2 linked regions of the Oreochromis niloticus genome follow. The protein of the gene in region 1 interacts with the protein of each later gene in a pairwise test. Links are inferred from orthologs where the notes say so. Each region holds a gene or a part of one and is shown on either strand. Other genes may lie near its edges.

What was found. The genes of interacting proteins can lie anywhere in the genome.
Region 2: the proteins of lnx2a (region 1) and scly interact in binary tests that used the Homo sapiens proteins (3 or more experiments, as listed by UniProt). The link is inferred for Oreochromis niloticus from reciprocal best matches to the Homo sapiens genes LNX2 and SCLY.

Annotation. Positions count from the first base shown.
Region 1 is NC_031974.2:18,923,272-18,930,573, reverse strand, and holds the start of lnx2a (ligand of Numb protein X 2a), read left to right. Parts: upstream 1-4,294; 5' UTR 4,295-4,468; intron 4,469-5,519; 5' UTR 5,520-5,907; intron 5,908-6,694; 5' UTR 6,695-6,852; coding exon 6,853-7,256; intron 7,257-7,302.
Region 2 is NC_031986.2:32,420,345-32,428,141, forward strand, and holds the start of scly (selenocysteine lyase), read left to right. Parts: upstream 1-4,793; 5' UTR 4,794-5,001; coding exon 5,002-5,004; intron 5,005-5,085; coding exon 5,086-5,183; intron 5,184-5,518; coding exon 5,519-5,628; intron 5,629-6,031; coding exon 6,032-6,132; intron 6,133-6,231; coding exon 6,232-6,409; intron 6,410-7,007; coding exon 7,008-7,135; intron 7,136-7,439; coding exon 7,440-7,595; intron 7,596-7,678; coding exon 7,679-7,785; intron 7,786-7,797. UniProt on the Homo sapiens protein: Catalyzes the decomposition of L-selenocysteine to L-alanine and elemental selenium.

The sequences.
Region 1 (7,302 bases):
GGCAAATTAATGGAAATAAATCCCCAACATAAAGCATTTTAGTAAGAAGATCTAGTGACTGTGAAAGCCATGAAGTAAAATTTACATTCATATTTAAACCACTTAGTTCCCTGAGGATGACTCCTGGAAGAGACGACTACCATCGGGATAGAACTTTTTCAGCACAGGAGAAAGGCCATCGTTTAAAATCTTCATATTGACTTTCAATGAGGGGACAAACCATGCTAGGAGACTGCTCTCTGCCACACAGGCGCTCATCCACCAGTCGAGAATACGACCACTCGCTCTCAAATGTGCACTGCTCATTGTAATGAGGGATGAATGCAGTGCAGCTCTATTGTAATTGTTTTACAGTAGGGCGGTTCTTGGTGACAGTCTGATTACATCCTGCACTGACATCCTCATTCATCTGAGAAGGAGTTGCTCTTTACTTTTACTGGGTGCACTGATGCACGACCATCACTTTTATCAAATGTGTGCAGTCGACCACAGCTTCCAACCCCGTTTTACTGACGCCTTTCCCATTGATCTAAATCGCTCAGAGCAGCATGGGACCGTAAATCTAAACACATTCAATGAAAAATCAATCAGTGCCTTCCATCTGTCCTCCTATCAGTATCAGATATTCTTTTTTTAGTACAATAACTTTATTGTATGTAATGAATCCATGCTTCCTCTTACAAAATGAGGTACATGTCCTCTGAATACACTCTTTTATAGTCTACAGTATTTCTCCAGCATTTTTTAATACTCATAACTTAGGAGGTGAAAAACAAATTGGAGCTTTGTTAAAAGCAGCAACCAAATCAATGTAACGCCCACTGCAAGTGTCAGGATCTAAAGTAAAGTTTTAAATGGGATATATTGGAGTTTTGGTCATTCACTGAAAAAAAAAAAAAAAAAAAAAAGCATTTGGGTCAATTTTAAAGGGTCACCATGTCAGATTGGAGGCAGGTCAAAACAAGATATATCATTTACCTACATTTTTACACTGGGGTCACCTTCTTCTTTGCAATCTAAATCATTTTTTAACACAGTCATGATTTAATACTACTTTCGCTCTCATAGATTTTAAATTTGTGCAGTTTTGCTATTAAAGCTAGGATCTAGCCCATAATACTGATGCTCAAAGTTTGCTCAGGGGCTATAGAAAAAAACATTACACTGCCTCTACTATGAACATCCTGTCTAAGATCATTAAGGACAGCGTAATGGGTATCTGTGTCTATTTTAACTTTCACTTCAAGTTAAAATAAGTTTGTATTTGATGCATCTTAATTGTATGCACTGCTCAGGGAGATGCTCCAAATTTCATTGTGCACCTATACAGAGACAAATACATGCATTCTATTCTCTTCTATTCTAGGATGTGACATTTTGAGCACGTGTAAAGTTCATATGGTTGCACTTTTTAGCGGAGTATAAATGAAATTAAAGGTTCATTTTAAGTAGATATATTTTGTAGAAGAAGTTATGAGGGTTTGAGATGCTAGAAGAAATAAGCCAAATTAAAAAGTGCCAAAATCTGACCCACTCATGCCCTCTTCAAGGGACTGCAACATTGAAAATGGTCATTCTGAAGGTAAAATTTTGGCTTTATTAATCACACTAAAAATATATATGTGTGTGTGTGTGTGTGTGTGTGTGTGTGTGTGTGTGTGTGTGTGCGCGTGTGTGTATTTTGTTGTTTTAGTATGGAATGATTCTGCTCTCACTTTACTCACTGCTCCTGCTGAAACACCAGGAGTTGTGTGACTGTCACATAGATACTTTTTCCCCATTATCCCATTACTTAGATCATAATCTGAATTAGCAGGACCTGCCTAGGATTTTCCTACATGCTATGGATGCCAATTACTTAACTGTACCATGTACTGCACCTTCGACCTTCAGTCATTTTTATTTGTCACCACTCTTATCCCTGTTCTACACTGGATTCAAATTTGAGGTGGGTTGATCAATCCAAATATAGTATCAATAGTATTGATACCAACACTGCTTTTGGTATCAGATCCATACTAGTGCAATAGGAACGATACTTTGTTTCTATCCTCTAAGTTCAGTATCTAGCCCAAGGAATTGCTTTAAATCATTTTTAGTGAAAAATATACTTCAGGTATGCACTATGAAAAAATTACAGGAATCTTTTTTTGTGTTAACCTCCACATCAATTTTATTTATAGCTTATAGCACATTATAAGCTAGAGAATTTAACCTAACGTGCTGCACATTTAGACTGCAAGTCTCCAAAAAAGCCATTTTCACAGAAAGCTAAAAGATGCGTTTTTATGTGTTAACTAATTATAGTGAAAAGTAACAATGACAGCGATTTAATGCTCATTAAATCTGTTGCAAATGAATGACGATTTATTAATTTTCTTTTACAATTTACAATTATCGGTATCGGCAATATTGGCCGTCTATGTACCTGGTATCAGATCGATACCAAAAATCTACAGTATCGCACACTACTGCAGCCATTTTCATTTAGTTCAAGTGCAATGCACACATTATGTGGGGTTCAACTACCAAGCCTTCTTACTAAAGCAGATAAGTAAGAGTCAGACAGATGGCATATCAGACACGGTGCTCACCATCCTGCAGGGCCCATGGTCTCTGCTCTCACGCGGGCTCTGTCAGTCTCCCTGAGGAGCTCCTCCACTGCACGCCTAGATGGATAAATAAAGAGAAAAAACGTCAAACACTGTTCACATGCAGGGGAGGAGAAATGGGGAGAAGCCGAGGACAAAGATGGCGCAAATCCTCAAGGGGGAGCCAAGGGGAGAATAATCTAATTAAGTGAGAGAAAACAGAGTGATGCGGAAGAGAAAGTGAATCATCAGGAGCAAAAGGGGAACAGTGTCCTGGTTTGACCCGAGCTGCTGAATCGGCACAATCCCAGCAGAGGAGACCCGCTGATCTACTTTTATAAAGGACAGGCAGCTGATGGTGTGTGCCACCACGAAGGCAGGCTTTCCATACAATCACAAGCTCGTCTAACAACACAATAAATGAGGCTCTTTTTTACCGACGGAGCGCTGTTACGGATTTAGAGGAAACCTGCGTTCAACAGTGCGCAAATACCGAGTGAGGACAAATATTAACACAGCTACATACTTCTCCAGCTCATTATCTTCTGCCATCGCGATCACACGCAAGCTTAATTGCGCTAAAATCGATGGATGATCGTTAATTAACCCAACATCGCTTGTTTACCTCCTCGCGAGGTCCTCCGACCGAGGACCCCGAGGATTTTTGCTGCCCTGAATAATGCCAGATCATTTTTAACTTCACCGTCCACCCTTTTCTGTTTTCTGCCATTTCCCAAATAACTTTCGTGGACAGTAACCGACTAAAACGTTATAATAAAAAAAAAGAAATCCTGATATTTAGGTCTGGGCTCTGTTTATCACACAGTTAACAAAATGTACCCGTTTAGTAAAACGAAAGCGATGCCGCAGTGGTTGTTTTTAATTCCCCATTTTTACCGTAAACTGGTATAAAGCTGCTGTGTTCATCAAAAATATTAGCTTAACTTAAGAAGTTGGCAGTGGTTTTGTCGTCATTATTTCTGACCATAGAACGACCTAAATTCTGGTGAGGTTTGTTTATTTTATTGCTCTGCTTGGTGAATGTTATACGTCAGTGGAAAGGTTTTTGTGCTAATTAACTATTAACATCTCTCAAAACTTGTTGAGAAAGGGAGACATTCTCATCTTTAAAAGCGGCATTTATCCAAAACTGAAAGCTGTAATATTAAGTTTCACTTATTATTTAAAATAAAACTAAGTCATGTTAATAAGTTTTAATCTCACGCCCCCTTTAAACCTTTATAACAGTAGCCTACAATGTAACCAGTAATCTTCAAAAAGAATAACTTACAGTATGTATGCATTTATTTATTTACGTTTTTGTTTGTTCCCTGTATTTATTTATTTATTTATTTATGTATATGTATTTACTTATGTATTTTGCATGTATGTATGTATGTATGTATGTATGTATGTATGTTTATATATTTATTTATTTAGTTATACGTGTTTATTCGTGTATCGATTTACCTATGTTTGTCTGCGTTACAAATATATCTGTTTATTTTGATGTGTTTGCTGACTTATTAGAATTTTTATGCATAAATATATTTAAACGCATTTTGTTTTATTATTTATTTTTATATTATATTATTTACTTATTTATTTGTCTATTTGGTTGTTAATTATTTATTTACGAAAAGGCGGTCTTAAAGCCACCCCCTAGCTCTCCTCTGGATTGACAACCGTATGCCCCGCCCACTCGGTTTTGACGGACAGCAGTGGGCGGGGTCAGCGCTGCCAAAGGCACGGGGGCGTTTTCGTGCGGGTTTTGCGGAACGGTCCGTTGCGGTGGATGCGTGATTGAGGTCCCGCGGCTAATAATCACCCCCCTTTTTGGGGCCGGAGTGCACGGCGCGGAGGAGCCGCCGGAAAAGGTAACGTCACATCACATCTGCCCGCGCGAGCGGTGTCAGTGTGTGGCTGGCTTTGCTTTCTATGCTGCTGTCGCCTCATCGGTCCCAGGTTTTTCCGCTTGTGGGGAGGGTGGGATGGAGTCAGACAGATGGGGGGCAATGATTAAAAAGAATTTCTGGTATATGCAAGACTGTCGGGCTTGCGTATTTGATCATGACACTGCAGTGGGAGCGCTCCCAAGGTAGATCAGGTCTATGCCAGAAAAAAATAATTGTAAATTTAAATTAAATCAGTGTCTTTTTTTTTGTTTTTTTTTTTTGTTATCTTTGTGTGTCTGGGTGGTGTGGAGGGGGGTGGTTTAAGAAAAAAAGGCAGCCTATTGCAACAGACCTTGCAGAACAGCAGCAGCAGCAGGCCTGTTCCTGCAAGTGGCTACCAGAGCCTTTTTTTAAGATAAGAGAGATGGGGTTTTATGAAAATGTAGGCTAAGCCGAGAGGACCTGAGATTTTAAATCTGTGGCCTAAAACATCATTTCATCTTCTTTGAAAATGTAATTCCTGCACACTGGACTGCCATGTCCTGTAAGATTAGATTGTCATTTCGAACAATAAGCAGAGAGACAAGAGTGTTATTTACTGAAATGGAAAGCAGTGCAATGACAATAACAGCCTGGCCTTGGACTCTCATACACACACGTACATACACACTGTGTGGTGGGATTAAAAGAGATATTCTACAAGCATTTGCCAGTCTTCATATTGTTTGTATAAAAGAATCTGTTGCAACAGCTCTGTTTAAAACACATTTAAGTGCTTTTCACTGCTCTGAAGTGCCGTCACAGTGAAAACACGAAGACTTTACTTATTGATAAAGACCATTCACAGGTACCTAAAAACGCTCTTGTGCTTGATGTGCGTGTTTGCTTTTGGTTGTGTAGACTTACGCTCGCATGTCTACGAGTGTGTGTGTGTACGTGTGTTTGTTTGTGTGTGTGTGTGTGATGTGGTGATGTCACATCTTTGTTATAGAAACAGAGAAGCCTTGTGTCCTCATGATTAATTCATGTCCAGCTGCGGGATAGAGACAGAAGCAGCCAGTCACACGCAGACAGGAGGAGCACGTACTTAAAGGAGGCTGAAATAAGTAACTACCGGTGGGGTGGCCAAGGAGACAGGAGGGACAGGTTGTCACAAGGAAGGAAAAAAAAAAGACCCAGACGAGATGAAAAAAGCAGAAAAAAACGACTCAAGGGGACTCTCATCATCATCGTCTGCGCTGTCTGACAAGCTTTCAGGCTGTACCGAGGAGGAGGAGAGCATCCTGCTGAGAGGAGTGCATCTGTTGTGTGGCTCCTCTGCATCCTTCTCTGGCTACACTCTGAATGTCAAGCCCCACTGAGCAGAACGGGATCCAGGTCGTCATGGAGACAGGAGCAGACCCTCGCTGGAACAGAGGCAGGTAGTCACTGTATCTTGGCTGGGCCCGCTGAGCGTAGAGGCACGCCCTCTGCTGTCGGCTGATAGCATCTGGCCCCTCGGAGGCTGGGCTAATAGAAGGGCCGAGGGGGTCTGAGGGGCTTTGGATGTGAAACGCTGTGGAAATGATCAGCGCACACTGCGGTGCATTAGCTCTGGGGACACGCTCTGCTCACTGGAGTGCTATATTTCAAGACTTTGCTTTGGGCGTGTTCTCTTTCCGTTGTAGAGGAGACTGAGTTCATCTACTGTACCCAGCCTGAACCAAAAATATCAAGCGTTTTCCTTGGCTTCCCCCTCCTTCCCTCCATCCTCTCTTCCATTTCATGTTCTTATTCTTCCCTTGTACCTGTTTTCACATCCCATTGATCTCTTCTTCTTTTTCTTATTCCACCTGTCTACGCTCCCTTCCATATCTTGTCGGCACCACTTTCCTTTTCTGCTGCTTTCCCAAGCTCACTTTCTCTGATCTGTGCCCTCTCTCTGCCTCAATCCCAGATAATTCCCTCTTTGTGGAATTGGAAGATTGGAGCAGGCGAGAGCAAAAGAGAGATTATACTACCAGATTAGTGGACAGAAGCAGCAATACATAATCTCAGCTGTGACATAAATGGGCACACACACACACTCGGTGTCACCCTCGGTCTCATGCAAACACGTGGGCACACGTGCACAAAGCATTTGCCACATGAATAAATGCCCAACACTTGTTGTCTTGTTTTTTTCTGAAACAGCTGTTTAACTCTCTTGTTTTGGCCTCTGACCCACAGGGTGATGTGCCATCAGCCACTGGGGGGCATCTGTCCTCTCCGCCACCTGTTCAGCCTCTGAAGCTTATGGGATAGGAGTGTGTGCGCCCCTTCCCAACCGCTCTGCATCCCAGCTGGACTCAGTCGTGCCAAAGCTGAATTGTGTTGAAGGAGAAGACATGGGCAGCCCGGGCTCCGAGGTGGGTCTGGCTGGGTCCATGGAGCCAGCTCTGGAGGCTCTGTGTCCCGAGTGTGGCCAGATCCACCGCAGCTGGGAAAACCACCTTTACAACTACCGTCTGGAAGTGGACGACGATCTGGTGTGCCACATCTGCCTGCAACCGCTGGTGCAGCCTCTCGATACGCCATGCGGACACACCTTCTGCGCCCGCTGCCTGCGTAGCTTCCTCCAGGAGAGGGACTTCTGCCCTCTGGACAGGACGCGGCTGCAGCTGCAGGCATGTCGCAGGTCCAGCATCCTGGTGCACAAGCTGCTGGACAAGCTGTCTGTGTCCTGCCCTTTGACCCCTGTCTGCTCCCTCAGCATGCCTCGCTGTGACCTGGAGGCGCACCTTAAACACAGGTAATAAAGCTTGTATGCAGATGGATGAATGCATGAGATCATTATG
Region 2 (7,797 bases), on another chromosome or scaffold:
CCATCATCATCATCGTCATTTCAAGTCCAAGCAGAAGGTTAGACTGAATGGTCAGATTTTCACTTTTTCTGTGAACAGTTTCGTGACCTTTGCTTTCAGAGCAGAGGGTTTACTGTCAGCAGCAGCTATTGTTTCCCATTTTTCAGGTTTCTTCAAGCTATTTTAAATCACTACCAAAAAATATTTGGACTCCTATAAAACGATTGCTGGAACAGCATTTAGTTTCAGTCATCATTTCCAGCAGTATTTGTCAGCTTTTTTAGTGAAATGCATTAAATGCATTAGTGCTGAGAATGCAGCCACAGGTTCTTTCTCCTTTTCTCAGCAGCAGCAGATTGATAATCATATCTCTTGTTTCCTTACTGCTGGAAATTACAATCAAAAGTAGCAGTGATACTGTTTATGGTCTGTATACTGCAGGTTGTTAAAAAGAGCATTTAGTTTATGTCACTGACCCAGAATGCATTACATACTAATAGTACTTGCAGATAGGTAAAAATGTGTGTTAAACCTGAAAGACTTTTTAAAACAATGACATTTTTCAACAGTTTTGTTGAATATTGGCTGTTTAAAGCATATTAAGGCCCACAAGTTAAATAGTCGGGGCTCCTTTTACACAGTTTTAGTCCTGTTGGCAAATTATTGATGAAAATGCAACCGTGCCTCGTTTAAAACCCTCAACAGATAAAGCGTGTGAGCTGTTGTGAGAAGTTAGACTGGTGAGCATGCCTCAGGTCATCCAGCCTAGAGAGCACGCTCAGTGAGAGCATGACATGTCATTTGAGAGTAAGTGAGAGTAAAATTAAACATAACTCCAGTTCAGTATGTTCTTAGTTTGGCTGCTGATGTAATACCTTCATTACGTCTAATAAGAAGTATCTTTTCAGAGGTTGTAAAGTATTCTGTGTGTTATGGAAATCATCAGTTCATCGACAGTTGTGACAAATCAAACAACCAGTACTTTTTTGTAACAAACAGATTAAAGTGTACTGTAGGCCACCATATCTCAAACATGTTTTTGTCACATCTCATTTCCTGAAATCCAACATGGTCAGAAAAACGAATGCGTGTCCCCGGGTTTGCTCCAGTCTGGTCTCCATGATTTTTTTCCTCATGTTTTTATTGGCCTTTTAATGTACATCACATTTGAGCCAACCAAAGTTTTGTTGTTGCAGTCACACAAATGTCACACTGAATGTAAACTGATCTTTGAAAATACTTATTCCGCTGAAATAATCGTTTTGAATTGTCTTCACATTCCGGTTCCTTGTTGATTGTAGGTAGGTTAATATCAGGGAACCTTTTGGAGGCTGTGGGACATGGCTGAAGCGGTCTGTCCACTAATGTATGGGGGGGGGGTGGTTCACTGTGTCCCAGCTGGGCATCATGTACAGAGTAATGCTGTAGGTTACCTTACTGTCGAGTGTTCAGTATCACCATCATGCGCTTGGCAGCCTTCACTAAATCTACTTTTTCTAAACCCTCCCCTTTTCAAGGAACATCATTTCCATTTTTGTGCTTCCATATCTTTTTCACACCATTACTTTTCTTTCTCTTCAGATATTTTTTGCATTGTATATAAACATGATTGCTGTGAACACTGTATTATAAAGTTGCACCCATTTACAAATGGGCCGTAGTTCAGTCAATGTCTCTGAGTGTTGGAGTTTTAGCGTCAGCTGTTTGTGTACACTAAACACATTGTCATATATGAAATAAACATGGAAAATATGCAACACAAAAAAATGACTTGTCTCTTTTTTTTGTTAAAGACAATACAACTTTTGTTTTTGGATTGTCAGTTGGGCAATCGCAGATGTTGTTATGATGGTAATAATGTTTATCTGGAAGATCCAAACTCCAAAAACCCAAATCAGACACCCAAAGAGCTCTGCCATCAAAGTCCATCTGGCAGACTTTGCAGCTAAGACATAGATGCATCACTTTAGTCTGTCATGACATCAGTTACAGCTAACTGTTCCTCCTTCTGCATTGCTTGGCTAATCAGCTATCTAACAGGTAACTATGCTCAGCATAGAAACATGTCACATGTCAGTCCTTATGTTGAAGTGACTCTAAGCCCAAGCCAGCTGTATTAGTGTTAGAATCATGAAGGTGAGAACTGTATGTTGGTGTCCTATGTTTTAATAGTCTTCACCAGAGTACAAATCACACATACTTTTCATGATGCAGTAAACTGTAAAAAATTGAGGCCTGCAGTTTGTGAGCTGTGAGCCCATAAAGTCATCAGGAAAACATTCACTGAGTTCACAGGTTAAGTAGCCAAGGCGGTTTTTCATACACTTCTATATGACTGAAAGTCTTTGAACATAAAATGTGAGTTAAAACATTTCAGCAGCTTCATTATTAGGGAACCTGCATCAATCTTTTATATATAGTTCATGTCATTTGTGAAAAACATTGCTGAAAATGACCCCATCATTTCCTCCATATAATGTAGTTGTAATAGAGTATAAGAAAATTAGTTCATATCTATATTTAAAAATGTTTCTTAAAATTCATATCAGACCCCAGAATCCATTACTGGCCAGGCTCAGGGACAAGACGGAGACGAAGAATCCTGAACTGAAATCGTTGGGAGATTTCCACAACAGCTTCCAAAGAGAACAAAATAGCTTTAAAAAAATTTTTTTTTCTAAAATAACTTTTAACTCTAAAAAGAAACAACTTTTTTTAATTAATCAGCCTTTTTATGTTAGAGTGAATTTAATGTTTCAGTTAAAATAAAATTAAAATAACTGTCTAAGTTACACATGGTCCATACCAATCAAGATGGCTACGGGGTGACTTTTAGAATTACTTTGGCTCTATCACTTTTCGTCCCTGCTAATCAGTATGTAGTATTTTATCACTATTTGGTGTAAAGAAACCTTTAATAATGACGTTAACTTGTTAATGAGGAAAGGTATCGCATATAGATTCAGATCATGAAGCGGGGACCATCATCTCCTAAAACAGACAAGCAGAACAAGGCCATTTTCACATATAACCACCTGCATGGTTGAGGCTTGACAGATTAATTTGCTAATACACCACCCTGAATTTGCATTGATTTTTTTTAATCACCCCCTTTGACTCTTTAAATTCAGCCTTGATTTTTGTTAATATATGCGTGTATCTTAGTAAATACAGGTACACTGCCTGTTTTTCTGAGCTCATGAAAAGTTGTATTTAGAGATGTGTAGTCCTCGGCCACGCTAAAAAAAAAAAATTTACAGAAAAATTATGGATTATTATAAATTAAAAGTCCCAAATGAATACAGACTATTAAGAATGAATTAATCGGAGAACAACTACGCTCAGAGAAATTAAATACTCCTGGCACTTTCAGCTCCCTGGCTGTTGCTAAGCAGCAGACGCCAGTGTTGCCATGTCTGTGTGTCAACGTTTTTTAAGAGCTGTTTCTAAAATAATTCTCTTCTTATTTTACTTACTTACTGTTAATATAAGTTTTCATCTACTAGATTTAAGTTGCTGGGGGGTTTTTTAAATTATTTTTTCAACATGGTACCTGCCGGACTTCAAACTAAATTAAAACTAACCCTTCTGAGTCTTCCCCAAGTTGTGAGGTGACAAATCTCTGAATAATTTTTGCTATTTAGTAATTAATTATATTTACAAAATAAAGAATAAAACACTGAAGAACATGACAGTAACACTCAACTCTTCTACATAATAAATTAATATTTCTTGTGCGGTTTCTTCGAGATATTAAACTGTGGGTTTTCTTTAACAAATCTGGCAACCCTGTCTGGGACGTGACAGAAACATGCTAGCTGGCTGATGATTGACCCGTAGAGTTGTAAATCCATTTAGGAAATCTTCACATCAGCTTACAAGGTCAGATACAAAGCTTTGGCTGTCCCTGGAGGATTCAGTTTCTTTATAAATTTAAGCTTAAAGGCGGAATCACAGTTAAATACGATCTTATAGCGAAACTAAGTTAGCTAAAAATTAGCTAGCTGCAGGCTAAAGTGAGAGCTGTCACAGAAAGTTAGCGTTAGGTGGATAATGAAGAGCTCGAGCTGACCGACAGTGTCCCTAAAGATATCTGTGGTTCTTTTAATGCGTTTTCTGTGTGCTGGTTGACTAGAGTGTTGTGAACAGGTCGCTGGATGTTACGTTTGCTGGCTACCAGAGGACACTGGACAACTATGACCAAAATAATCTTTTTTAAGACTGTGTTCACTGAACTTTTGGCACTATAGAGGGTCTGCTAATAAGTGCGCATTTTTATTCATAAATTTGTGGAGCTGTACGTGACTAACACTGCGTGAGGAAGCAATCCAAACCGTGTGCGTGGCACAGTCACTGGAGTTGGCAAGCATTCAGTTTGTGATGCAGAAAATCCATGAAAAAGTTTTAGACAAGTTTTACACTGCTGGAAATGCAGCGAATGGGACACAAGTTAGGCAGTCATTTAAGCTATTTATCACAGAGAATATTCAATCACTACGTTTCAGTTTCATTTCTAATGTGCAGCTGTCACTTTAGAAATAAACAGCATCTCTGAGATGTTTCTCATCGATGAGAAATCCATTTAAATCCATTAAAAAACAAAGCAGCAGATGAACTGTGAAATATCCAAGAATTGCAGATTCAACAACACGTCTCTGTTTTCCATATCCTGTCAGTCTACTGCCTCTACAGATTACAGATAGCAGCACAGATGAACAAAATCTTGTATTTTATGCAAAATAATAATGTGTATATCTTTGTATAATTAAAACAACTTACTGAAATCGATAAATACTTTAGTCTTTATTTATAATCCTGTTTTATAGACTAAGGCTGGTATCAGTTTTTACACTTTTGTTGGGCAGATTCAGGGTAAAGGTCTAAACTCGTTCAGTCACATTTTGACGTGTGACTGAACAAAAAACTGGATCCCAGATATCAGAATAAAGTAAATAAACGGACACACACACAAAGTATCAGCATCTGCCGTCAGTGAATGTCATCTTATTTGCAGACAGACTGATGGTAGTTATATTCTAGTTATAATGTAATTTATCTACACACAGACATCCAGGTAAATGAATTAAATGTTCTTTCCTCTCCAAGGGTATTATGGCCAAAAAGCTTGATGATGTCCCGTTGGTACAGGGTCCCACCTTCAGTGAACATAATTTTCATCACTTTTCAGAGATGAATCTAGACAGGTAAGAAAATAATGTTGATATATATCAAGTTAATAGTACAGCAGCAGTGATGCTGTAACTTAGGACTGCTGAATTACAGCAAAAATACTATTGATTTATCATAATTACTCAGGTTATAGGTAGGTTTTAGAAAATTTGTGCATTTTAAAAAAATATTTTTCTTATTTTAAGAATGATCAGAAACCCAAATAATTGATTGTAATTTAAGTAATTGAAATTTGACTTTTTTATGAGTTGATCTTGTCATTAGATAGTTTATTAATATGTTATGATGCATAAACTTCCCGTAGCACAATGCACAAAGTGTGATCAGAGGTTTTTTTTGTGTAATTCAGGATCTACATGGATTACAATGCTACTACCCCTCCAGAATCAGAGGTGATTCAGGCCATTTCTGAAGCCCTCCAGGATGCCTGGGGAAACCCGAGTAGCAACTATATAGCAGGTGAGGAAGGCTTGAAGCTGTGTCAGAATTAAAAGGTTTAAAATAATTGTTGTTATTTTTATTTTTCCATGTGTATTAAATAAAGTTTTGTGAGAATTTTTGTTAAAATTCCACATTGTGTGTGCAAATCCTAAACTAGTGACAAGAATTGGACATTAGTGCTCTAACTCTGTGCCAGTATTCCTTTATGAAATATGGCAAGGTCACTCTACCAAATAAATATAATAGAAACTCTTAAATGTATATTGTGTAACTGGAGGAGGGAATACAATCACAGCAGCTTGTGTGGATTAAACTTGTGGCTTTCTCTGAGTGCTGAATGTGAAGTTTTTACTGTTTTAAATGAGTTTCACCATCAAAAGAGAATGCTACATCTCAATGTTTCAGTCATTTATATTTTCAGGTGCTAAAGCTAAGGCTATCATCAATCAGTCCAGAGAAAATGTGGCAAGAATGGTTGGAGGGAAAGCAGAGGACATCGTTTTTACCTCTGGCGGGACTGAGGTGGGCAGGGCTCTTTTCTGTTGCAAATAAGTTATGTGAGTCATTTATGATCCTGGGACATTACAAACTGTGGTTTACAGGAAAGATTTTGTCTTTCAGGCCAATAACCTGGTGCTGCACACCGCTGTAGAGCACTTCAGGAAACACTGCAGGGCTGCAGAACAGGGTGCAGGACACCAGAATGGATGCACGGGCCTTCCTCACATCATCACTTCTAATGTGGAGCATGACTCAGTCAAACTAGTTGCTCAGCACCTTGAAAAGGAAGGAAAAGCAGGTAGGAGGCCACTCTGTGTAGCTTTTATTAAAATAAAAGATTAATAAAGAAATATTTCTTGTATTACAAAGGACAGTGTAGGATTTTCTTTATTGTACTTAAAAAAAAATTCTCTCAATAACATGCTGCAGATTTCCTGTGGATAATTAAAATGTCTAAAATAAAAATCAAGACAATTAAAGGCCAATAACATTAATGTCATAATCTTTTTTTTAATGAAGATGTAGTACCTTCTATGTGCCAACACGTAAGAGTGCTAACCCAATGGAAAACTTTAATTTAATTCTGCTTTTTTACATTTTAATTTTTAATTATTGAGTTTCTGAAAAGGTCTTGAAAAGCACTGATTTCCATTTTTAAATAGTGCCGGGTCCTTGATAGTCTTCCAGTGGTGGTTCAAGTTAAATGTTGCCAAAGAATTAGTCATTTTGGCATATAAACTGCTAAAGCACTGCCTCCTAGTGGTGAAAGTTTTGGTTTAATTCTGTGGAGGGTAATTACAAAAAGTACCTTTAAACAAATCAAGATTCGCATAACCTAATGTGGGCTCCTTGCCTTTAATTACTTTCTCAACTTTGTTTTTTGTTTTTTTCCATAGACGTGACTTTTGTGCCCGTGTCTAAGGTGACAGCCCGGGTAGAGGTGGAGGATATCATTGCTGCTGTGCGCCCCAACACTTGTCTCATCTCTGTTATGCTGGCCAACAATGAGACAGGAGTCATTATGGTAAGATGAGAGAGAGGCTAGAAAATCCATCAGCCGAGTTTCTGTTAGTACTAATCTATCCATTCATCAATTTTTTTCCACTTACCCAGTTCAGGTTCGTGGAGGGGCTGGAGCCTATCCCTGCAATACTAATGTTAGAGAAATAATTTTTGGGGATCTTAAATTAGACCATTAACACGTAGGATAGTGTCTAGCTTTAAAGGAGCTTATTTTCTAATTAACTCATTACTTATAATTGCAATGTGTCTATGAGTCTATGCAGCTCTGTGTACAGCTGAATGCTGAACCACCTTCTTGTTGTCAGCCGCTTCAGGAGATCTGCCAAAGAATAAAGTCTCTGAACAAGCAGCGTGAGCGCCTCAGGATCCTGCTCCACACAGATGCTGCTCAGGCGTTGGGGAAAATCCGAGTTGATGTCAGTGATCTGGGAGTGGATTACCTCACCATAGTGGGACACAAGGTCAGGATCTGCTGTGTGGGACATCTTAAGAGCTTTTTATAGCAAGGCTAAAATGTTATTGAGAGGTTTTGTTGTGTTTCTAGTTCTATGCCCCTCGCATTGGTGCTTTGTATGTGAACGGCCCTGGGACAAAAACTCCATTGTATCCGATGCTTTTTGGTGGAGGACAGGAGAGGAACTTTAGACCAGGGTGATGATCTTT